Linked DNA regions of Macaca fascicularis. The protein of the gene in region 3 interacts with the protein of the main gene of each other region in a pairwise test. Links are inferred from orthologs where the notes say so. Each region holds a gene or a part of one and is shown on either strand. Other genes may lie near its edges.

Region 1 (4,242 bases), on a different chromosome or scaffold from region 3:
CGGTTATAAGCCATTGAAGTCAGTCAGACTTAAGGACAACTAGACAGAGCTCCCATTTTCTGTCATCTGGGCAGGAACCAATCTCCTTTTGTATCAAATGGCCTTCTGGTACATTCTGGAATCTTGCTTCCTCATCTATTTAGTGAGGCTAATACCGCTTACTTGTAGTTTTGTTGTAAACTAAGATAAAGCCTGACATATTACTCATTTTAAAATTGTACACACAGACCCTGCTTTAACCAGATGCCTGCAAATACTCAGGTTTTCCTTCTACATATAGAAGACAACTTATCAGCTGCCAGGGCTGAAGCCAGCAGATATGGCTAAATGACAGAACAAAGGATTATGCCAATAAACTATGCAAAGCTTCCTTGCCCAGAATATAAATCAAACAGAGTAAAAAGCGAGTATATTGGCTCCAGGAAAAGGAGCAAGGACAGCCAGTTTTCAGGCGACCTCGAATTCTCTCCGTTTAGGATTCACCAACCCTAAGGTCCACTGGGTCCTTCAATCTGAGGGTCCATCCAGGGCCTTCCCTCCTGGGGTTGGAGATGGCTAGCTGCCTGATGGAGAGACCCCAGGCTGCTCAGCAGCAACGCCTGGCACAGCCGAGACAGCCTCGTAGTCTGCGATGCGGCGCTGTACCAGGGCAGGCATGAGCTGCACGTAAGCGGCCATGAGGCGGTGGTTGGAATGGATCAGCTTCCCAGCACAGCTGTGCAGACAGGCCTCCTAGAAGGAAGATAGGGTTTAAGCGGAGGACAAAGGTGTCCTGTCGGGCCCGCCTCCGTCCTTCCCCATGCACAGCCTAGGGGTGAGGGTCTGGGAAGGCCAGGACCAGAGGTAGGGGAAGTGGGGTGAGGAGGGAAGCAGTCTACCGCTAAACTCTGTTTGCAGCGTAACCTCCTTACACAGTTCCCCACCTCCTCAGCGTCCAGAGCTCGGTGGTGCAAGCTGGGCACACAACGCTGGAAGCAGAGTTCTGTCATCCGATTGTAGACCAACAGGAAGTCACGCAGCTGGGAGAAAACCGGGACCACGAACTCAGCGATATGTGCCCCACACTTCTACTCAAGGTCGCGCCGCCCAAAGTTTCCCAGGCCCGCGCACCATAACCCGAAGTTTCCAGCCCTCAGATCCCTGGCTCTATGGGGTTTCCGCGATGTGTGCAGGAATGCGAGCTGAACGTCTGGCCCCGAAACGACTTAGTTCTCACTCACGTTTCTCAGTTGCTGTTGCTGCTGCTGCTGCTCCATCACGCCACCGGCGCATGCTCTACGCCACTTCCTTTTCAGCTTCTCGGTGCCGCCCCGGAAGTAACCTCTCGCTGCTCTCGAGAACCAAGCTAGAGTATCGCCCTGCCCCGGCTTCGACGTCACTTCCGCCCTTATAATCTGCGACGTGGCCGGCTTCTTCTGCCCGGAGAGGACGTCACTTCCGCCGAGTCCCTGACCTGCTGCTAGGATCGCGACGGGAACTGGAGCCCGAGGTCCCCGCGCGGCCCGGGCCTGGCGCCCTGAGGGGAAGAGCGGCCCGGCCCGAGGTGAGAGGGACATGCTTGGGCGACGGGAAGTTGAACGCACAAACCTGTCCAGAGGGCAAGATGCCCCGAGCCCTGGGGAAGAATGAGGACACACCTGATGTCCAGGTGTATGGGGGTGGGGGCGGGGACTCACATACCTGGGAGACTGACTGTGGAAGGGATCACCGATATCCTGGTAAAGACAGGCTTTTGCCAGAGACTGGGAACATACACCAACTGATCTAACTAAGGCCTGGTGGGGAGGGCCCAAGGAAGAGGAGTTGTATGAGACGGAGGAGGGGAGACCCCCTGAAGGAAGGGGGAAGAAACACTAAAGGAGTGAGAAAGGCCAAGCAATGGAGAACAAACCTGAATGGGGGGTGAAGACCTGAGCCCTGGAAAGGGTCCATCTCCTGCTCAGCATAAACACGCCTGCATGGAGATAAGTTCTAAGAGAGCTACTTTCCCTCTTCACTGTTGTATTTTCATTGTCACAAATAGTACCTGACACAGAGTAGGCACTCACTAAATGTCTGCTGAATGACTGAATGAGTGTAGAATAATCACCAGAGGCCTGGTGAGGTTGGGGGCTTGTGAGAAGACACCGTGCTTTGGTGTGCCTGTGTACAAATGTGCATTTTGGAGGGGAGAAATACATATACCTGAAGAAAGGAATGATGACCAAACGCTGGGACACTCAAACCCTGGGACAGCCTTTAAAGAAATGACAGAGGAGGCTTCCTTCTTCTAGAGTGCTGGCCAGTGCCCAGAACTTCTGTGTTGGGCTTTGCAGGGTGCTGGGGTGGAGAGTTTTACTCCAATACCTTTCCTAGCCATGACGGACGGGATCCTAGGGAAGGCAGCCACAATGGAGATCCCTATCCACGGGAACGGTGAAGCCAGGCAGCTTCCTGAAGATGATGGGCTGGAGCAGGTGCTTCTGTTTGATTCTTCTAATTGTTTCAATTTAGGAATCCAATTTATAAATCCTGGGTTCTCACCCTCCATTCCAGTAGCCTTCCCCTGAACTTATCTGACTCCCTTAATTTTACATATCATTTTGATTCTGTGCAGACTTCCCTTGTGTAGTGTCTTTATGATGCTTGAATCCAAACTTGTTCCCACCTCCAAAATGCTTCTGCAGTCCCTATGTTCCTGAAGCAACCCCTCTTCTCTGGCCTATAGGACCTCCAGCAAGTGATGGTGTCAGGACCCAACCTCAATGAAACCAGCATTGTGTCTGGTGGCTATGGGGGCTCTGGTGATGGACTCATCCCCACAGGTATGAACAGAAACAGGAAGCTTGGGTGGAGGAGGGGACAGGAATGGTTTGGGGAAGCATAGGATATGTCTAGGAAAGCTTGAATAATGTCTGGAGATCTTAGGAACTTCTGCTTGTAGGAATCCCATGGACTCTCCTCAGCCCAAAAGCAACTCCCAGCATTGTCCATCCATTTCCCTTTTGCCACTTGGCCCCTGAAATGGCTCATTCGTCCTTTCCCTGCCACCACCTGAGTCAAGTTAAGACCTACTTCACAGGAATGCCCCCGCTCTACAGCTTGAGGCTGAGTTGGAACTTTGTGAGGCTTTTCAGAATTTTTAGATTCTAAAGTTTAGAGGAACAAACAGCCCTGAATCTCACACTAAGATTCCACATGGGAATGCAACCAGGTTTCTTGTTATCATGACCCACCATCCTTGACTCCTGCTGCCCCCAAACTCAGTGTATTTTCTTCTGTTTCCTCTGCCCCTATACACCAACAACTCCCTGCAAACCTCTCCTCTGGCCTCCAAGGAGGCCATATGTATATCAGGATTTGGTTATCACTGTGCAAGGTCCGAGTTCCTCCTAGTAAACAGGAGAATCCAGTTGTCTCTAGCATCTCCTTCAGGGAAGTCAATTTCATGTGCTGGGAGAGAAGCATGGGTGGGGCCACAGAGGTGTCTGGTGTATCTGAGAGAGGCTGGTGTCAGAGAACTTGATCCTTTAGGGTCTGGCCGCCATCCATCTCACAGCACCACTCCTGCTGGCCCTGGAGATGAGGTGGCTCGGGGCATTGCTGGAGAAAAGTTTGACATCGTCAAGAAATGGGGCATCAACACCTATAAGGTAGGATTTGAGCACCTCTCACTTCCCCAAAACTCGTTATGGGTACCTTTTTCCCCTTTCCTCATGATCGTAATATCCCATCTGTGGCTGAGAGTAGGAGCCTGGGTGGCGTTGGGGTAGATACCTGTTGTGTCGGGAGGCTATTAGGGTCTCTGATCTATTGCCCCGTTTCCCAATCAGTGCACAAAGCAACTGTTATCAGAACGATTTGGTCGAGGCTCACGGACTGTGGACCTGGAGCTAGAGCTGCAGATTGAGTTGCTGCGTGAGACGAAGCGCAAGTATGAGAGTGTCCTGCAGCTGGGCCGGGCACTGACAGCCCACCTCTACAGCCTGCTGCAGACCCAGCATGCACTAGGTGATGCCTTTGCTGACCTCAGCCAGAAGTCCCCAGAGCTTCAGGTGCCTCACCCAGACCAAAGAGGGTGGGGGAACTGGGCATGGGCCCTCCCAGGCAGTCATTCGTCATCCTCCCTCCCTCCTGCAGCCCACAGGGAGAACCCCTTCAGGGTGGGCCCAGCCCTACCCCCAGCAGCACTCACCTGTGGAGGCAGCCTAAGGGTTTGTACAGAGGTCCAGAAGTTGGAGGGGGTGGGGGAGGGGGCACACT
Region 2 (4,126 bases), on a different chromosome or scaffold from region 3:
AACGCTCAATTAGTACAACAGTTTACAATCTTCTCTACCCACAGCCTGATGCGAGGCTCTGGGACTAGAATATTTAGCCAACAGTTCTTGCAAAATTAACTGACTTATAAGCAAATAGTAATTTCAACACCTCACTGCTAATGCTGTAACAGAACTCTGCAGACCTAGGGAGCAAGTACGGATTGCAGAGCACTGGGAAGGCTCTGAAGTGACCTTTGAACTGGGCCTCAAAAAATTTTGGGTTTGGCAAAAGCCAAACCTCTTAGGCTTCAAATTCTAGGCACAAGGATTGTTGGGTTTGACTTCATTATCCAGAAACAATGAGGATACAGAATTGTGATCTCACGTGTAGAGAATTGTGGGGTTTTTTTCTACTTTAACCCCAGTGAGACTTCGTAGAGTATGGGGTAGAGAAAAGGCTCATGAATATGCCTGAAGCCTGACTCAGCACCTTCCTGAGGAACTGACTGCCAAAACGGTAATGGAGAGGGGAAAATATGACCTACTTTCACAAGTTACCTTGACTGCCTCAGGGAAACCTGCTGTGGTAGTGTTTCTTCTGGGTAAAAGACAGGGTAGCCGAATAGTTACCTGGGTGCTGGTGTCAGACTTACGTTTTGAATCCCTGTTTTAACCACTCACTATCCATGTGACCTTGGACAAGTTACCTAACCTTTCTCTTACTGTCCTTTTCCGTAAAATGGGGATAACAGATAGTAGTTATTTCTATGAGTGGTTATGAGAACCAAGCTATTAGATACTGGGAAAGCACACAGTAAGCGTTCAAGGAACTGTTATTGTTATTAAAAGCCTCCTTCGGAAGAAGGACATCGAGGCCCAGAGAGAGAAAAGAACGTCCAGCCACACAGCAAATCCGTGATGAAATTGGGACTGGAGTGTGGGTCTCCTGAGTCTCAGTTCAGGACTCTTATCCCTCTTCCCGAGTCCTCGGAGTTCCTGGATGGAGTCACATTTGTTCACGGCCAGGGAGGAAGGTTTGATGGAGGCCTGCAGGAAACAATAGCCAGGCGCAAAGCCTTCGGGAGTTGAAACATAGCTTCTGCGAGATAGAAACAAGGTTGACGTGGGCACTCGTGCAGAATGACGGGCTCCTTTTGGACTCTGAGGACTACAGCCCCTTATGCACTTCGGGACTGCGGATAGCCCCTGCGTACGGAGGAACGCGTAGACTTTTCCCTGCCCCGCCCTCCCGGCGCGCCCGCCTCCGAGGCCGCCCTCGCTTAGTCCTTCCCAGCAAGCTCCGCGCCGGCGCCGGCTATTGATTGGCTGAGGCGGGAGCAGGCGGCTCGCCGGCAGCGGTTACTCGGGGTTTCCGGTGCGAGGCCAGAGCTGGGGAAGCCGTCGGACGTCGGCGGTGAGGTACGTGCCGTGGCAGCCGTTGGGCGAGACTATTTGAGGGTGTGCGGGCCGGGATGTTCTCGGCCTGTGGGGAAATCACGCCAACTCCGCGCGTGGGCCGGCGGCCGGGACGGGGGGAGGGGGGGTGGCCTGCCTGGGGGGGGGGGGGGTGCGCATGCGCGGGCGTGCCTCGAGGCTGCAGGGCGCGCAGGGCGTGGGTGGCTGCGAGCGCGGGGGGCGCACGTGGGGCCTGAGGGGCGGGGGCGGCGCCGGCGCCGGGAGTCCCGCCACGTCAGTCTCCGGCCCTGAGCCAATCCCGGGCCCGGCCTGCCGCGAGGGGGCCGGTTGTGTAGAGAAGTGGCTCCAGGGAGAAAAGAGGCCCCTTCCCTCACCCGCTGCGGGAGCTGCGCCCCGAAAGCCTGTCCCGGCACGCCGGGCTCCCCTGACCCTCCAAGACCCGAGAGCCGTTGGCGCCCTCTGCCAGGGCCGGCCGGTCCGTTTAAGAAGCTTCGTGCGCCTGCTGTGGGGATTTTCTGATCCAGGCTGCGAAGAATTTCGAAGTCTGGAAAATAGCAACTGTGTTTGTTTCTAAAGGATCTTCTCCTGACCCAGCATCTCTCATCACAATGAAGAACCAAGACAAAAAGAACGGGGCTGCCAAACAATCCAACCCAAAAAGCAGCCCGGGACAACCGGAAGCAGGACCCGAGGGAGCCCAGGAGCGGCCCAGCCAGGCGGCTCCTGCAGCAGAAGCAGAAGGTCCCGGCAGCAGCCAGGCTCCTCGGAAGCCGGAGGGTGTGTGCCAGCTCTGCGTTGCCAGCGGGCAGGGGGTGGAGCTGTGGGGCCGGCCTCGCTTCTGGACTTAGAGGCCGAAGCCAGGTTGTCCGGGAGGAGGGAATATAGAATGAGAGGACAGTGCTGGGGCCGCGGTCACCCCCGAATTCTGGCGAGTTGGCGGAGCCGCTCCCTGTAAGCACAGGAACAGAGTTCTGGAGAGAACCTCTAACGGGATTAAGTCAGGTGGCAGCCAAACGGGGCACCCAGTCAGGAAATCCAGGTCCGGTTTGAAACACCTCAGCCACTAGCAGCTAACTGCCCTTCCTGTTTGAGGCATTTCTAGAATGATCTGAATGGTAAAAAATGGTTTTGTGAGGGGGAAGGAGATGGACTAGAAGTTGCACCATGCCATCCCTGTGTGCTGATGCTTTACATACTTTTATGATCATAACAAACATGTTCGAGTGGTAGTGAGAAATAGTTGTGTCATTTTACAAGTAAACAGAAGTGAAGCTTAACTATATTATATTACTATAATTTCTTGATTCAAAAGATGTTTCGAATTTAAATTCTGACAGGAACTAGATTTGCTGAATAATACTCCATTCTTGCTTCTCAGTTTCCATAAAAAAAGAAAAGTTAGGCAACATTTAACTCAAACTGATGAGTTTGGCTGGACCTGAAAATTCCCAACCAGTGGTATAATTTGTCTTGTTTCTCACTCTACCCCTCATCCTCTCCTGCTGTAGGGGCTCAAGCCAAAACGGCTCAGTCTGGGGCCCTTCGTGATGTCTCTGAGGAGCTGAGTCGCCAATTGGAAGACATACTGAGCACATACTGTGTGGACAGTAACCAGGGGGGGCCTGGCGAGGATGGGGCACAGGGTGAGCCAGCTGAACCCGAAGATGCAGAGAAGTCCCGGACCTATGTGGCAAGGAATGGGGAGCCTGAACCAACTCCAGTAGTCAATGGAGAGAAGGAACCCTCCAAGGGGGATCCAGGCACAGAAGAGATCCGGCAGAGTGATGAGGTCGGAGACCGAGACCACCGAAGGCCACAGGAGAAGAAAAAAGCCAAGGGTTTGGGTGAGCAGAGGGTGGCTCTTTGTGAGGCTGGTGAGGGGAGGGAGTTTGGACTTGACGTTCTCTGGACCAGTCTGTTCCGCCAGGATTCAAAGGAAAACGGTACTTCTCAGAACAGCAAGTCACTCTAGTGTAATCAAAGCCAGGGATGTGGGGGCCACGGCATAGAGAGATGCAGGGGTTCCCAGCACAAGGCCTTCTGGCTTTTGGAGCAATTGGGGGTTGGAATGGGACCTGTTCTCTCTTTGAGAAAATGGAGATGGGAGGCCAGGGTGGGCTCCTGTGCCAGCCAGTACTACCTGCTGTGTGATCTCGGGTGTGTCCCTTCTCCTCTCTGGGTCTTAGTTTATACTTCTCTTTACAGTAAGAAAATTAGACTAGGCTGGAGTTGAAAACCCAAATGTCTGCATAAGCTGGGCTGGCCATGGGGCCACATGAAGATGTAGGCTACTTTATCCAAAGACTTTACTGCTTCCTGATTAGTTGCTCTCAACTAGCCAACTGAGAGCAGGCAAAACTGCAGGCTGGGTGCAGGCTTCTTTTATTTTTATTTATTTATTTATTTATTTTTTGAGACAGTCTCGCTCTGTCACCCAGGCTGAAGTGCAGTGGCACGATCTCGGCTCACTGCAAGATCTGCTCCTAGGTTCACACCAATCTCCTGGCTCAGCCTCCCAAGTAGCTGGAACTACAGGTGCCCACCACCACGCCCGGCTAATTTTTTTTTGTATTTTTAGTAGAGACGGGGTTTCACTGTGTTAGCCAGGATGGTCTCGATCTCCTGATCTCGTAATCCGCCTGCCTCAGCCTCCCAAAGTGTTGGGATTACAGGCGTGAGCCACCGTGCCCAGCCTTCTTTTATTTTTTTAATTATTTTTGTTTGTTTGTTTGTTTTTTGAGACGGAGTC
Region 3 (3,971 bases):
TGGGCTAGGAATCCTCTTCCTGAGTTTCTGTAAGCCCTGGGGCCAGGTCCGGAGGGCCGGGCCACACCTCCAAGAGGCACTGCCCACAGGTGTCAGTTGTCCCTGGAAAGGTGTCCCTGAGCCGGTGGCAGAGAAAAGGGCTCTCCTGAGTGTTCAACTCCCCATCTTTGTGAAGTGATGCCTTGGTCTTCAAGATCTCCAGTGTCTTCCAGCCTGCCCGCCAATCTCCCATCTCTTCCCTTCCACAGCACTCAGGCACATAGAGCCTTCTGCAGCGGCCCCTCCCCAGCCAGCACTTGACAGGACAGATGGGGGCTAATCTGGCCCTGCTAAGCAGCAACATGCTGCTTGGAACTTGCCCCAGCCTTATCAGCGGAGGTCTGCCCCAACACATCCCAGAAGCGAGCAAAGGTTCAGCGCTATGCAGTTGGCAGGTGTCGGGATCATCAGTCATCCCCTTGTCAGCCCCGAGCCTGCTGGGCTTTTGTGAGGGTGCCAGGGACATAGGCTGGAGGCTGGCAGGAGGGGAGTAGAGGTGGGAGGAGGGGAGTCCATCTGCAGCACCAGGGAAGGGATGGATGCTGGCTCCTCTGGTCACCTCAGCTGGAACACTACTCAAGGTCCCTGGCTCCTGTCCTCCAACTGGGGGTCCTGCATTCCCATCCCCAGAGGCCTCCACTCCCCCTGAGCCCTGCAGTCTCTCACTCACTCACAGGGTTTTGAGTTGGATAACACAGTGTAATGATCAAGAAGTGGACTCCCAAACCGAGAACACGGAGCTGTCCCCTTGGGCAGAGGCTCAGGGCTCGGGGCAGTGGAGAAGTCCAGCTGAGGGCACAGTGGCTTGAGCTGCTCTCAGTTCAGCTAGAGGCTTTGGTAGCTGTGCTGTGATGAGAGTTCACTCCCTGCTGCTCTCTTCTGGCATGGAGAGATGAACCTGTAATCCAAGTGTTAAAACCGTGCCCCGGGGGAAAACACTATTAATTCTGAATCATCTCTTTTGTTGCATTAAAAAAAATAGAAGAGAAAAACTTCACACGAGCCACTCAAGGTGTGCAGGCAGCTGTGTTTGTCAGGAAGGCAGAAGGAGTTGGCTTTGCTTTGGGGGAGGAGACGAGGTCCCACAGCACCCTCTGAGGGGAATATAAGGAGCTCCAGAGTGCAGCCTGGCCTGGTACCTCCTGCCAGCGTCTCTTGGGTTTGCTGAGAACTCACGGGCTCCAGCTACCTGACGATGACCACCACATTTCTGCAAACTTCTTCCTCCACTTTTGGGGGTGGCTCTACCCGAGGGGGTTCCCTTCTGGCTGGGGGAGGTGGCTTTGGTGGGGGTAGTCTCTATGGGGGAGGTGGAAGCCGAAATATCTCAGCTTCTTCTGCTAGGTTTGTGTCTTCAGGGTCAGGAGGGGGCTACGGGGGTGGCATGAGGGTCTGTGGCTTTGGTGGAGGGGCTGGCAGTGTTTTTGGTGGAGGCTTTGGAGGGGGCATTGGTGGGGGTTTTGGTGGTGGCTTTGGTGGTGGCGATGGTGGTCTCCTCTCTGGCAATGAGAAAATTACCATGCAGAACCTCAATGACCGCCTGGCCTCCTACCTGGACAAGGTACGTGCCCTAGAAGAGGCCAATGCTGACCTGGAGGTGAAGATCCGTGACTGGTACCAGAAGCAGGCCCCGACCAGCCCGGAACGCGACTACAGCCAATACTTCAAGACCACTGAAGAGCTCCGGGACAAGGTGAGTCCTCAGATGTCAAAGAGAGGGGAGCAGGTGGCTGGTACCCTGTATGTGGCTCTAATGTCGGTGTTACTGCTGACTCGAGGAAATCCTTTCCTGCCCAGGCAACGACTGTCTGGTGTGTAACCTCAGCAAATTTGGAATGCACCTGCTGTCCAGGTGCAGAGGCTAGTGCACATCTTCTCAACTTGGTGGTGCTGGGGGAGGAAGGGAGGGGTCTTGGGAGTCTGGTTAGGACCAACAGGGGCACAGGTGGGGGCAATTATAAAGAGCCAGGGGCAGTAGCTCACACCTGTAATCCCAGTGCTTTGGGGGGCCAAGGTGATAGGACTGCTTGTGTTCAGGAGTTAGAGGCTGCAGTGAGCTAATGACTGTGCCACTGTACTCCGGCCTAGGTGACAGAGTGAGAACCTGTATCTAATGGAAAAAACCAATAATTAAAAAAAAGAGCAGCTCGCCTTCCCTACCTCATGCACCCTGCAGGCTTCTGCATAAAGTATTCCTTCACCTCTTTGGCAAGAATGGGATTGGAGTGTGGCCTCATGAGTCCCAGATGCTAGAACCTCTTGTCTTTTCCTATAAAGAGACCTTTTGTGCCAAAAGTACTGTTGGGTCTTAGGAGACCTGGGAACTCATTACACATTCTGTCACCCACTCACTCACCTTTTTACTCCCTGAGACTGGGTTCTTCATTTGTAAAAGGCCTTCTTTAGCTGCCCTCCAGGTTGCTACTGGCTGGAATGTTCTGTAGATCCATGGCTGTGTCCAAGATGTGCAGGAGGCAGTGACCATGAGCTGTCCACAGGGGGGCTGGTGGAGTGTCTCTGAGAGGGCTATTGTCAGAGCTGACCACACCCCACTCCACCACTCTTCTGGGCAACCAATTCCCACAGGCAGTACTGCCTCCTTGGTCTTTCGTGCCCTGGAGACAAGGAGGGCAACTCCTCAGGTGTCTCAAGGAGGCTGGTATGGGACAAAACCAGAAGTGGACACTCAAGATGCGGCTGGACTCTGCCCACCCCAGAGGCCCTACAGATTTTTGTTGGTGGTGTCAGAGGGGTGATTGTCAGTGAGGGGCTGGCCTTGGGTGCAGAGTGGAGAGCAGCAAGGGAGAGAGAGGAGTCCTCTAGGCACCAACTCTGTCTCCTGCAGATCACGGCCACCACCATCGACAACTCCCGGGTCATCCTGGAGATCGACAACGCCAGGCTGGCTGCAGACGACTTCAGGCTCAAGTGCGCTCCCCCCTCCCTCTCCTCTTCCTGCGTTGCCCACTTTACTTGGCCTTCTCCTGGGTCTGACTCAGGCAGCCAAGACCCCTCCCACTTCCTTCTTTGGCCTCCCTCTCTCTCCTCAGGTATGAGAACGAGCTGGCCCTGCGCCAGAGCGTCGAGGCTGACATCAACGGCCTGCGCCGAGTCCTGGATGAGCTGACCCTGGCCAAGACTGACCTGGAGATGCAGATCGAGGGCCTGAATGAGGAGCTGGCCTACCTGAAGAAGAACCACGAGGAGGTGAGAGCTGGCCCCCATCACCCTTGAACCTGAGAGAGGTGGGGAACTTCTTCCCAAAACGCACTTAAATTGCCCAGAGGGAAAGACAGCGGCTCCAGGAAGCCCTCCCAGATTTTCGCGAGATTAAGTCGGTGGGAGGCAGAGTGGGGCTGCTGGTACTTCCTCATCGTTGGCCTGGGGCTTAGTGGTTCAGAAACACCCCCAAACCCCAAAACCAGGTGTCCTCATGGAGAGGAAGGGGCACTGACCTGTGGTAGCCCAGACCCACAGCCAGGCCAGGTGGCCAGTACGAATGACTGACTTCCTCATTGGCTTTGTGAGCTCACATCAGGGCCCTACAGTCTCGGGGTCCTCCCTTTGGTAGGACCTAGAGCAGCAGAGAGCTCCTCAGAGTTGAGGGGTCCATGTGACCGAACCTCTTCATGTGCAATAGGGAACATCGGTTGGGGTGCGTTAGGGGCAGAGCCAGGATTGGCATGTGGGACCCCAGACTCAGGTTTCTCTTCTGCTCTCCGTCTCTAAATGGGCCCCTCCCACCCTGCAGGAGATGAAGGAGTTCGGCAGCCAGCTGGCCGGCCAGGTCAATGTGGAGATGGACGCAGCACCGGGCGTGGACCTGACCCGCGTGCTGGCAGAGATGAGGGAGCAGTACGAGGCCATGGCGGAGAAGAACCGCCGGGATGCTGAGGCCTGGTTCTTCAGCAAGGTGGGCCTGATCTCCTGCC
Region 4 (4,238 bases), on a different chromosome or scaffold from region 3:
TATATAGAGAAGGAGGCTCTGACACTGAGCCCTGGTTCTCCTGCAAAAGTGCATTCCAATTAGCTTCCTGCGAGCAGCTAAAAATAGAGCAAGAGAATGTAAGGGAATGAGAGAAAGGTGAGCTTCCCCGAGGAGCTTCTGGGTTGGGAAGTTTGGGGGCTATCACCTGTCAGCTGATGCTCCCCAGGAAGCAACAAAGAGCCTGTCAAGAGAAATCTATCCTACTTAAACTATGGGGTGCCTCCAATGAAAGTTGAGAAGATGGAGATACCACAAGAACTCAGAGAGGAAACACGGCCTCAAATGAAGTGCAAACTCGACTAAAAACAAAACAAAACAAAAACTAAATAATCTACAGATACGGCTAAATCCAATGGCCAGCAGCACCAAGAGGAAGGTAAATCACAAATCAGATCCCAGGACAATAAGGTTCTCCACATGATACCAGTGAAGGCCAAAGGTGTGGGGGCAAACACAAAGGACCATTGTCTTTCAGTGCAGGGAACAGTGTCCCTCTCCCTACTGCTCCCAAAAGGAGCTGTGAGCACCAGTTAGGCTTCCTGCTGACCAGACAACACTGTTCATTCCCAGCAGCTCCCACCCTAGATGCCAACCACTGTGGACCTTGAACTCACATCCTCCAGGAGCCGTCCTTCTACCCGAAGCTCCCAGGAAGCCACCGTCCCTTCCCCATCCTCGGCATCTGACTTAGCCGGATTGAAAGTGTTAGAAATGAAAATTCGCAGCTTCCGTTTTTGCTGAGGAAGGCAGAAACAGGATTGATCGTGGGGCTTCAGTGGTCTAATGTTGAAGACAAGAGTCTCCCCAAACCCCAAAATTATTCCTAACAGACTGGCTTACTGTCTACCCAGTCCCTTGGGTGGGTGGATGAAGATTCCATTTAGAAGAGGAGTACTGGCCATCAGCCTAAGTACAAGTGCATACAGTGGGATGCCAGGTGGACAAAGTCACGCAAGGTGCCAGGTTCCCAAGGTAGCAGAGCAGTTACAGCAAAAACATGGACAAGGGTATATTTGTAGTGCAAGAGACATCAAGAGCCCCTCCCCCTTTGCCATTCTGTTCTTATCCTCCTAATGTAATTCTCAGTTTGTAGGCGGAAGGGAAAGATACAATTTAAATGCCAAGGAGAGTTGTGCTGTGCCTTTGATTTCTCATCCTAAGCCTGCTGAAGGTTCCTGGGTCCTCTCCTTTGGCTCTCTGCTTAGTAACTTCCTGTGTTACCTTGATGGGACGTTTCAAGGCCTCTTGGATATCTAGTCGTTTCCTCATGATAGTCTGGTCCAGTTTCCTTTCAAAAGCCAAGAGATCCATATAGGCCTGGGATTCTGGTACCAGTTCACGAATCTTAGGAACAGAAAAATTAATTGAAATCTAGGATGATTCATCTCTATACTCAAACCTACCACACTTTCCAGAAAACAGATAGCCTGGACTCACCCTTTGAGGTAGAATTTTGTCAGCCATCTTCTTTTTCTTTGCACTGTTGGGAATAAACACTATTATCAGGTTGGGACAGAACTAGTCAGAACGTGAAAATAAGCTGTCAGCATGTCCATTTATAGTAATGTGAAGGGATTGCAAAGCTGCTCTCAAAGAACTACCACCACCACCACCACCACCACCACCACCACCACCACCAAGCATTCTCAATCATCCTGTAGCACCATCTGCTGACACAGCACCACCACTTCTTGGTTCAGGTAATCCCACCACCTGTGTACTCCCAGGCTCCCTCCCTCCCTCCCTCTGCCCCAGGATCATCTTACTTGTGGTTTCGATTTTGGACAGCCTGCTGCTGGACCTGCTGGATCTGCTGAGGGGCAGGTCTCTTGCGGGACTGATCCATCCCTGACTGGGCCAGGCCAGGTCGGACTGAAGGGTTCCCCCCATAGCCAGGGGGTCCCATGGAAGGTCCCTGAGGTGTCATTCGGCTGCCTGGCAACATACCTGGTCTCTACAGAGGGGAGAGGACCCAGAGATGTCATGGTTTCACCTGCTAAACCCCACCAAGAAAGAAAAGCAGGGAACGCCTGAGTTCTTTGAATGAAGTAAGGTTTACGGATGGAATGGAGGACAATGAGACGAGAACCCTCTGCTCCAGCAGTGACTCCACAGAAAAATAAGAGTCCAAAAGCTAAGCGAGAGCCAGATTATACTCAAATTATCGGTCTATTTTGGATCGGACACATCGGACATCGCCAGTTCCACATTTACTCTGCTAGCTACTATCTCTTTAGAAGCTGACCTCAATTTGTCAGCTACACGTTCTGTGTTCCTTTGATCAATGGAGCTGCTCAAGCCCCTCTGCACTCCGGCCCTCGTATAGGTATCCCTGGACCCACTTCACCCACCCTGGTTCTCTACCGACTCCCCACGGAAACAATGCCCCTAGGAGCTGGTGTGGACACCAACTGCCTCCCCCTCTCTTCCTGCGCACTGCCTCCCCCAGCCCCCACCCAGAGCCCGAACCCCTCCCAAGGGAGTCCCTCCTACTTCTCCCCCCACCCCTGTCACTCCCACGTCCCCGCTCGGCCCCGCCCCCGGCCCGCGCGTCCCTCCTCCTGCCCCACTCACCGGATAGGCCGCTCCGGGCATCGGGGAGCGGTACAGCCCTTGACCCGGAGCCGGGCCCATTCGCACGGGAGGCCCCGGAGTTCCGCCCGGGCCCAGGGCAGCAGCCGCGCCCGCCCCTCCCGAGGCTCCGGCGCCGCCGCTCGGAGCCACAGACTGGAAACCCGCCCGGGCCGCCATCTTCCCGGAGCCGCCGATGCAGCTGCACAAAGAACCGGAACCGGAACTCCCCCCGCCCCCTGAGCGCCCCCCGAGCGCCCGCCTGTTCCCCCGGCCGGCTGGCCGGCACGGGAGGCTCAGGGCAGCGAGACTGTCGCCTAGAGAGGAGCGAGTAGCGGAAAAGGCGTGCTGGCCACGCCCTCCCGCCTTCACGGTCCTGGAGGGAAAACCATAGAGAAGAACTCTGGGATAGAGAGGCCCCGTGAGTGGGCGCCCCCAGGCCGACGGGAGGTAGACAAGGACCTGGAAAGGGGGACGGACCACAGCCTCAGCCCCAGTCTCAACCCCGACTCCAGCCCGCTGATGATGAGGTGCTTGGAGTAATAGCTTCATCTTGGCGCATGGCATTAACTTCCCAAAACGCTTTGATTGCTTTTCGTTTCATTTTCTTACTGCTATAACTATCAGGGGCTGAGGAGGGAAACACAGTTTATTCCATTTTCCAAATAGGAAAGCTGAACTCACAGGTGAACGACTTGGCAAAGGTCAACCAGCAAGTTAGTCATAAAGCCGAAGCCAAGATTCCAGGTCTTCTTGCTCATAGCCCAGGACTCATTCCACAGATAAAGTGCCTCAATAACTACCTCACGTGGGAACTTCAACCTAACTTTGTCTCCGACCTAACCTGCTTCCGGATTATTATTATTATTATTTTTTCGACATGAGGTCTGTCTTTGTCACAGTGGCACCATCTCAGCTCACTGCAACCTCCGCCTCCCAAGCTCAAGTGATCCTCCCACCTCAGCCTCCCGAGTAGCTGGGATCACAGGCATGCACCACCATGCCAGGCTGTTTTGTATTTTTGGTAGAGACAGGGTTTCACCATGTTGCCCATGTTGGTTTCAAACTCCTAAGCTCAAGTGGTCTGCGCGCCTCAGCCTCCCAAAATGCTGGGATTACAGGTGTGAGCCATTGTGCCTGGCCTCAGATTTTTTTTTAATATTAAAAAATAGGGATGGGGGTTTCATTATGTTGCGTAGGCTGGTCTCGAACTCCTGGCCTCAAGTGATCCGCCCGTCTCAGCCTCCCAAAGTGTTGGGATTACAGGCGTGAGCCACCGTGCCAGCCTGCTTCCAGATTTTATAATAAGTTCCAGTTTATCTTGAATTTTGACTCTGCTCTCTCTCTAAAGCATTGTTCGTGATGGGGATTCTGTTTTGGACCTTTGTTGCCTTTGACTCCTCCCTCTTTCCCTGCCCAGTGGTTCAAACTATTCCTGATACGATGGTCAGCCGTCCCATCCCAGGAGGACCACAGTCTCCCTATTCAAACCTTCTCCTTACTCATCCCCTAATTGTTTGGCCCCAAACCAAGCTCAGCTCTAGGCACTTAGTGAGAATACCTAAATATGTTTTCAAATAAGTGAACAACACTGAAGAGGAGATGGTTGAAACCCAGTTTATTAGACCAGAGGCATGCGTCACCCA
Region 5 (2,908 bases), on a different chromosome or scaffold from region 3:
GTGGCTCTTTTTTTTTTTTTTTTGAGACAGAGTCTCATTCTGTCGCCCAGGCTGGAATGCAGTGGCTGGATCTCAGCTCACTGCAAGCTCCGCCTCCCGGGTTTATGCCATTCTCCTGCCTCAGCCTCCCGAGTAGCTGGGACTACAGGCGCCCACCACCACGCCCGGCTAGTTTTTTTGTATTTTTTAGTAGAGACGGGGTTTTACCATGTTAACCAGGATGGTCTCGATCTCCTGACCTTGTGATCCGCCCGTCTCGGCCTCCCAAAGTGCTGGGATTACAGACTTGAGCCACCGCGCCCGGCCTGTTGTGTTCTTTTTAACTTTTTATTGAATTACAACGTATATTAATAGGAGAAAAGTACATGTAAGTGCAGAGTTCAATGACATATTCACTAACTAAACACACTTCTGTAACCAGCATTCAGATCAGCAAACACAGCCTGAACAGCACCTCGGAAACTGCTTTCTTTCTTCTGCTTCCTCCCCCTGGGTGTGCGCTGTGCTGCCCTCTCACTCAACTGTGGTTCAGCGCAGCAGCCCCTATAGGTGTTGACACATGGCCGATAGGGTCACAGTCCTGCTGGGCCCTCGGGCTCACTCAGGAACTGGGCGCTCCCAGGGGGTCCTCCAACAGCTCAGTGCAGCATGCTGGGGGGTCAGGGCCAGCACCTGTCCCTGGGGCCTCAGGCCTCCCTTCCTTCTCACAGCGGCCAAGATCGCAGGTCTCTACAATGACTCGGAGCCACCCCGGAAGACCATGCGCAGAGGGGTGCTGATGACCCTGCTGCAGCAGTCGGCCATGACCCTGCCCCTGTGGATCGGGAAGCCCGGTGACAAGTGAGGGCAGCAGCTGCGAGGGAGGGGCTGGTGCCCAGGGGCTGGGACTGACCCTTTGTTCTGCTCACAGGCCCCCACCCCTCTGTGGGGCCATCCCCGCCTCAGGGGACTATGTGGCCAGACCTGGAGACAAGGTGGCTGCCCGGGTGAAGGCCGTGGATGGGGACGAGCAGTGGATCCTGGCCGAGGTGGTCAGTTACAGCCATGCCACCAACAAGTGAGTGACACCAGCCCCGGGGCTGCTTTCTGGTCACCGAACTTGCCTGGGCTGCCGCTCTGCTTCCCGTCTGCACAGCAGGAGAAAAGCTCCCCAGAGGCCAACTGTGCAAGGAGCACCAGGTCCTCCCCCATCCTCACTCCCCGACAGGGACTGCACCCCTGGCTGCATCCAGCGTTTTCCTCCTTTTGTCCACAGGTATGAGGTAGACGACATCGATGAAGAAGGCAAAGAGTGAGTGTCTAGGCCAGGGCAGGGCACGGAGCCTGGGGGCAGCCTAACGTCTGGGAAGGAGCATCCCCACCTGGCCACATGTTGATATAAGCCCCTCTTCTCCCAGGAGACACACCCTGAGCCGGCGCCGTGTCATCCCGCTGCCCCAGTGGAAGGCCAACCCAGAGACGGACCCCGAGGCCTTGTTTCAGAAGGAGCAGCTCGTGCTGGCCTTATATCCCCAGACCACCTGCTTCTACCGTGCCCTGATCCACGCACCCCCACAGCGGGTAAACCAGCCTCCATGGGAGAGGCCATGGGTGATGTCAGGAACAGGCTGATCAGACAGACAAGGGGTCCTCTACCCCCTCCCTCCCCTTGTCCTTATCTCACAAGCTCCAAGCTGACAGCACCCACCAGCTGCCCTCCCTCTTCCACTCCAGCCCCAAAGGTCACCATCCCCTTGCAAGCCCTGGCAGTCTTGGCAAGCCCTGAGTCAGCAACTCCCTTTCTGCATTCCTAGGAGAACTAGCTCTGAGATGGGAAGCTCCTGCCCTGAGCCCCGGGCTCCTACCCCCTTATGCTCCTGGTGACATGGGACACAAGCCACCTGAGGCTAGGATCCCTACCTGCCACCATCTGGGTTGCCCTGGGTCCCTGAAAGGCAGCAGACCCTCCAGCTATGGCCCCATTAGGAAAGGAGTCAGCGCCCCTTCCTCTCCCCACCCTTTTCACTGCCCTGGGTCTCCAGCCACTGAGAAAAGAGCTGTGTAGCAGCAGGGACCGGGCCAAGACATCTTGACCCCAGAGTGAAGGATGATGAGAGTGGCTGAGAGTCCACAGCCCAGAGGCTCCTGTGGTCTAGGCTGGGAGAAGGGGGTGCCTGTCCTGGCCTGGGGCTCTCTGAGCAGCCCTCCTGTCTGCCTGCCACACAGCCCCAGGATGACTACTCGGTCCTATTTGAAGACACCTCCTATGCAGACGGCTATTCCCCTCCCCTGAATGTGGCTCAGAGGTACGTGGTGGCTTGTAAGGAGCCCAAGAAAAAGTGACGCTGCCTGGTGGACTCACCATCCCCCAACGACACAGGGCAGGACAGCAGAGGATGTGCTGGGATTAAACAGACATTCCTCCTCCACTCGTCTCCTGGGTTTTACTTCTCCAGACCCTCTCCCCTCTCCAAATAGGGCAAGTTGGGGAGCTGGAGTGGGGAGGTGGCCGTATTTGGCCCCAGTGGGCGATCACTCTTTCAGCTCATGGTTTCTCTTGGCTTGAAATGGAGACTCTGCATTGAACACAAATCATACTTTATTCTTGAGCCGCTTGGTCAGGCTTGATTCGCACACTCCCTCAGCAGTGACCCCGGGAGCCCCTCTCACAGCTCAGAGCGGAAGCTGAGGCTGCAGCCTGCCATCTTCTCCGCATAGTCCGCATCGAAGCGCTCATTCTGCGCCACGGTGAAGGTGGTTTTCCAGTCCCCAGTCATTCCTGGAGGAGGAAGGCAGGGAGCAAAGCTGGAGTCTCATCCCAGGGGAGGCCCCGAGTGCCTATGGGGAGGCTCCAGCCGCTGCTCCCACCCGCCCCAAACCCCCGTGCTGGCCAGCACCCACCTTTCCTCATGAAGGGGGAGATGCTGTG
Region 6 (3,946 bases), about 5.2 Mb from region 3:
TAAATGAAGATGAGAACTCAGTCTACATGACCTAAGATTTCCCACAAGTCCAGATATTTAGGTTACGCAGACTGCATTATTGTCCGATTTCTCCTCTGCATTAATCTGGAAGTCTACAGAACAGATTAGCACACAACAATCTTAACTAAGCTAGTATCCAACTCTGAAGGAAGGCGAAGCTGGTGGAGGGTTTCCAAGACTGCTTATCCTTCTCTGTCCTTCCTCCCATACCCTCCTTATGTCTTTTTTGGTTTTTGTTTGTAAAATTTAAAAATATTTAATTTTTTTAAATGTATTTTTAGTCACAAGAAAATCAAAGAAGCCACCCATTTCAGTCTTAAGCTCTGCCCTTTGCCTAGTCCTAATGGAGGGTTCTTTGGCCATCTATGTATAAAAGATGAGAGAAGCCAAAGAGACTGGAGAACCACCACATCAATGGGAGCTTTTTCATCTAAAGGTCATCTGTCCACACTGTCCAAATGAGGTTTACCCTGTGAAATAAACTTGGCATAAGTGCTACCTGTTGAGAAAAACAGTGTGAAATGTCACGCAAAGGACTGGGGTGCAGCAGGAGGACTCTGAAAAAGTCATACGTGTAAACCAGCAGGTCTTAGAATGTTCTAATATACTATATGCAGTTTCAGAGTAAACAAATGGTTAATGACACATCTTTTGTAACACATGAATCAGCTACTGATTTGCAAGAGTGGGACACACCCTAGTACCTATGACTCTAAAGTACCTGTTTGAAAAGTGGACCTAGATGTCTGAATTGCCAACCTATCCTAAAATTGGAACAGAATTTTATAACTATGTAAGTTGCCATAATTTAAAGTTAAAAAGATCACTGCCTTTCATTATAATGGAAGTTAATTTGAGAACTTCATTAAAACGTTCACACCGATAATCAAAGAACAGTAGCAATGCAAAGTAAGGTACAGCCAATCAATCCTAGGAAGCAAACACAAGAGGCAAGAGAAATGGCAGGTAAAGGAACTGAAGAATAGCAAATTCAAGAATTACAAGCATTACAAAGTTCTAAAGAAAAATGAATAAAATGAGGCTGGTAATGAAAAAATAACACATCTTACCTTAAGAGGCATCCAAATAGCATTCATAGTGTCAGGATATAAAGACAATACTCAGAAATGAGCAAGAAGTCTTAGTAATTCCCTCGGTTACCAAGTATGAGCAGATAGGAAAATCTTTTGTTTCGATAAGGTATCTGAAAGAGAGGATTTTCATTTAGACTAAAAAATAATCAAGAAAATGCAAATAGTTTAAGCTACATGGGCAGAGATTTTGAAGTACTATTTGCCTCATCGCACTAAAAAAGTATAGAAAATACAGTCCCCTTTAGAAAACGGCAAATGTGTGTGTGTCTCCGTACATATGTGTAGAAACATACGTTATATAAAAAGAGAAATAAATATGTAACACTTACTTTAGATAATGTAAAATTGCTTATCAAACAGCCAAAATCCCAGAGAGAATAAAGTTTCCAGGGTACCTCATAAACACTAAACGTGATTTGTTAACTAACCATCTAAAAAAAGACCCTTGCTACATTTAATTATATTTAGTAAAGTAAAACCTCTCTAATCATCCCGACTGTCCCAAGATTATGCTTAAGTTTCAGAGTCAATTCCACATGAAAAGTAAAACCTATTCTTGACTGAAGTACTAGAAACAAATAAAATACCCTTCTTCCCCAGAGATCGTTAAAAGCAGACCGAGCAACTTAATTTTGAGGGTAGGAGGAAGGTAAATTTGCCTGGAGGCTGGAGGATGGACTAAATGACCTCTAGTAGGATCCTCGTTCAAGTCCTGGGCCTGAATACAATTCCAGCTTAACCAGTTACTGCTTCGCTTAAAATGGAGGCTTGCCCGCGTAGGGACAAAAATAACAGCACCCACTTCGTTAAAAACAAATGTCGAAAAGTACCCTTATTTAAATAAAAATAAAAAATAAACACCTCTGGAGTGGATGTGTTCTTGCTATGCGTTTGTCACTGAGGCTTCGAAGACTTGGCATCACTTTCCTTACCGCTCACCGGATTTTGGGGGAGGAGCGGGGGGCGGCAGTTTGACTCCTGACCCAAGTCTCAGGCAGGCTTCAAAGCCCCACCAGGGCCCCCAACTCCAGAGCCAGAGGGAGCGGAGAGGCGAGAGCCCGAGATCGCACCTCCCCCCACCGCGGACCCCAGTCCCAAACCTACCCCTCACCCCTCCGCAGTGGGGCGCCTCCTTCTGCCCCATTCCCATTGTTAGGGAGGGGAGAGCGCGGGGTGGGCTCAGGGCAGGGGCGCCCGCGGCCGTTGCCCGGCTCGCTTCAGGAGGGGCGGCCCGCGGGATGCGGCTTCCCTTCCTCTCCGCGTCGGTCCGTCCCACCTCGGCTCGGCCTGGCGCCCCGAGCTCCGCTCCGCGCCCCCGGCCGCGGCCCCGGCCCGCCCCCGGGGCAGCCAGGCCCCCCGGCCACTCGGTCGGCAGCCTGCGGCCCAGGCCTACGAGTGGGCGCTGGGCGGGGGTCCCCGTGCCCCACACACGCGTCCCTCTCCCCGAGCCCCGCCGCTTCCAGGGCCCTCGGCGGCGCCCGCTCCCCGGGCCCCGCCGCCCCCCGCCTCCCAGCCGGGCCGCTCCCTCGAGCTCGTCGTGTCGGGGCCGCCGCCTCTACCTCACCATCACCCCTGTCCACTCGTGCCCCCACCCCCAGGGGCACCAGTGCCAAAGACAGCTCCCCCAGCCCCGGACCTACCTGCACGGTTCAACCAAGCCTAGAAGTGGGGGCGGGGAATCTTCCGCCCTCCTCTGGCGTTCATTGGCCCTTCAGGGGCATATCGTGAGCACCATTGGCTGAGCGATAGTGTCCGTCAGAGAGATGGGGCGGGACCGAAGGGGGAGAGGGATGCTGGTGCCTCGGCGTCTCTGTCTCTGTGTATCTCGCTGTCTCTGTCTCTGTCTCGGCCCTTGGAAACGAGAGGCTTTTGGATGAGAGGACTAGAAGCGGGCCTGAGGTGGGAGGAATAGGAATAGGAATCCTGCCAGAGCGTCACGCCAGTTGGCCACTCTGAACCCCCTACCTAAGTCCCCTTTAGGTTCTCTTCTCCATCACCCCCAACCCCTGCCCCTCACCCCTCGAGGTTCCTTCATCCAGGAAGCGACGTGATGAAAACTCCAGGCCGGAAGGCCATAGGGAGAGATGTTATATATGTATAGAAAATATACACATATAAATATTTATATATAAATTCAACCAGATATCAGTTCACTAGGGCCTGGAAAGGAAAGGGCACACATCTCACAGACAGGGAAGGACTTGAGATAGAGCCGGCAGAAGAAGGAATCAAAAATCACTCTTACGAGCTGGCAACAGTGGTTACCTCCTGGGAGGGGAACTGAGTGCCTAGGGAACCAGTGGGCGGAAGACTTACATATCTCGGCGTATCCTTTGTATCCATTGATTTTTGCACCATTCATCAAGATTCCAATTTTTTAAAAATTGATTTAAAGGTTTAAATAAGGTCCCAAAACCAGGGGACAGATAAGATAGTTGGCCAGGAAAATTGGCACAACATGCAGATTTGGGGAGGAATCTTAGCTTTTAATATATTCAGTTCCAGGTAACAGGGTTTTGTAAAACCCAGTGAAGGTGTCCTAGAGGCAACTGAAGTTACAGAACTTGAGAGAGGGTAGACAATCAGGAGGACTAGAGACTATGTGGGGTCCTCTGCCTGAAGATAGTGGTCTGTGACATGCTAAACTCCCTAAGCAGGGTAATAAGACACCCACGGTAAAAGGTAGGAGAACGAAAAAGAAGGTCAGTGAGGTAAAAGAAACAGAATATTAAAGAGGCATGAAAATTAAGGAAGGAAGGGTCTGTGGAAAATAGAACAATAAAACTATGAGAGAGGACGGGCGCGGTGGCTCATGTTTGTAATCACAGCAC

Evidence for each region.
Region 1: the proteins of KRT15 (region 3) and ARFIP2 interact in binary tests that used the Homo sapiens proteins (3 or more experiments, as listed by UniProt). The two-hybrid records come from large-scale screens. The link is inferred for Macaca fascicularis from reciprocal best matches to the Homo sapiens genes KRT15 and ARFIP2.
Region 2: the proteins of KRT15 (region 3) and TXLNA interact in binary tests that used the Homo sapiens proteins (3 or more experiments, as listed by UniProt). The two-hybrid records come from large-scale screens. The link is inferred for Macaca fascicularis from reciprocal best matches to the Homo sapiens genes KRT15 and TXLNA.
Region 4: the proteins of KRT15 (region 3) and SMARCD1 interact in binary tests that used the Homo sapiens proteins (3 or more experiments, as listed by UniProt). The two-hybrid records come from large-scale screens. The link is inferred for Macaca fascicularis from reciprocal best matches to the Homo sapiens genes KRT15 and SMARCD1.
Region 5: the proteins of KRT15 (region 3) and SGF29 interact in binary tests that used the Homo sapiens proteins (3 or more experiments, as listed by UniProt). The two-hybrid records come from large-scale screens. The link is inferred for Macaca fascicularis from reciprocal best matches to the Homo sapiens genes KRT15 and SGF29.
Region 6: the proteins of KRT15 (region 3) and KANSL1 interact in binary tests that used the Homo sapiens proteins (3 or more experiments, as listed by UniProt). The two-hybrid records come from large-scale screens. The link is inferred for Macaca fascicularis from reciprocal best matches to the Homo sapiens genes KRT15 and KANSL1.

What each region holds. Positions count from the first base shown.
Region 1 is NC_088388.1:59,599,422-59,603,663, forward strand, and holds the start of ARFIP2 (arfaptin-2), read left to right. Parts: upstream 1-1,442; 5' UTR 1,443-1,543; intron 1,544-2,315; 5' UTR 2,316-2,357; coding exon 2,358-2,456; intron 2,457-2,707; coding exon 2,708-2,804; intron 2,805-3,513; coding exon 3,514-3,632; intron 3,633-3,812; coding exon 3,813-4,034; intron 4,035-4,119; exon of another isoform or gene 4,120-4,193; intron 4,194-4,242. Other genes in the region: TIMM10B (mitochondrial import inner membrane translocase subunit Tim10 B), read right to left, coding at 556-732, 924-1,019, 1,221-1,256. UniProt on the Homo sapiens protein: Plays a role in constitutive metalloproteinase (MMP) secretion from the trans Golgi network. May have important functions during vesicle biogenesis at certain cargo subdomains, which could be predominantly utilized by secreted MMPs, such as MMP7 and MMP2.
Region 2 is NC_088375.1:202,849,163-202,853,288, reverse strand, and holds the start of TXLNA (alpha-taxilin), read left to right. Parts: upstream 1-1,326; 5' UTR 1,327-1,380; intron 1,381-1,951; exon of another isoform or gene 1,952-1,953; 5' UTR 1,954-1,985; coding exon 1,986-2,154; intron 2,155-2,885; coding exon 2,886-3,221; intron 3,222-4,126. UniProt on the Homo sapiens protein: May be involved in intracellular vesicle traffic and potentially in calcium-dependent exocytosis in neuroendocrine cells.
Region 3 is NC_088390.1:62,557,296-62,561,266, reverse strand, and holds the start of KRT15 (keratin, type I cytoskeletal 15), read left to right. Parts: upstream 1-1,171; 5' UTR 1,172-1,234; coding exon 1,235-1,732; intron 1,733-2,884; coding exon 2,885-2,967; intron 2,968-3,089; coding exon 3,090-3,246; intron 3,247-3,790; coding exon 3,791-3,952; intron 3,953-3,971.
Region 4 is NC_088385.1:56,914,782-56,919,019, reverse strand, and holds the start of SMARCD1 (SWI/SNF-related matrix-associated actin-dependent regulator of chromatin subfamily D member 1), read right to left. Parts: upstream 2,801-4,238; 5' UTR 2,773-2,800; coding exon 2,596-2,772; intron 1,976-2,595; coding exon 1,788-1,975; intron 1,502-1,787; coding exon 1,459-1,501; intron 1,366-1,458; coding exon 1,243-1,365; intron 759-1,242; coding exon 636-758; intron 1-635. UniProt on the Homo sapiens protein: Involved in transcriptional activation and repression of select genes by chromatin remodeling (alteration of DNA-nucleosome topology).
Region 5 is NC_088394.1:27,850,909-27,853,816, forward strand, and holds the end of SGF29 (SAGA-associated factor 29), read left to right. Parts: intron 1-710; coding exon 711-840; intron 841-910; coding exon 911-1,057; intron 1,058-1,255; coding exon 1,256-1,291; intron 1,292-1,397; coding exon 1,398-1,560; intron 1,561-2,205; coding exon 2,206-2,322; 3' UTR 2,323-2,408; downstream 2,409-2,908. Other genes in the region: sulfotransferase 1A1-like, read right to left, coding at 2,646-2,758, 2,881-2,908. UniProt on the Homo sapiens protein: Chromatin reader component of some histone acetyltransferase (HAT) SAGA-type complexes like the TFTC-HAT, ATAC or STAGA complexes.
Region 6 is NC_088390.1:67,802,848-67,806,793, forward strand, and holds the start of KANSL1 (KAT8 regulatory NSL complex subunit 1), read right to left. Parts: upstream 2,801-3,946; 5' UTR 2,756-2,800; intron 1,226-2,755; 5' UTR 1,092-1,225; intron 1-1,091. UniProt on the Homo sapiens protein: Non-catalytic component of the NSL histone acetyltransferase complex, a multiprotein complex that mediates histone H4 acetylation at 'Lys-5'- and 'Lys-8' (H4K5ac and H4K8ac) at transcription start sites and promotes transcription initiation.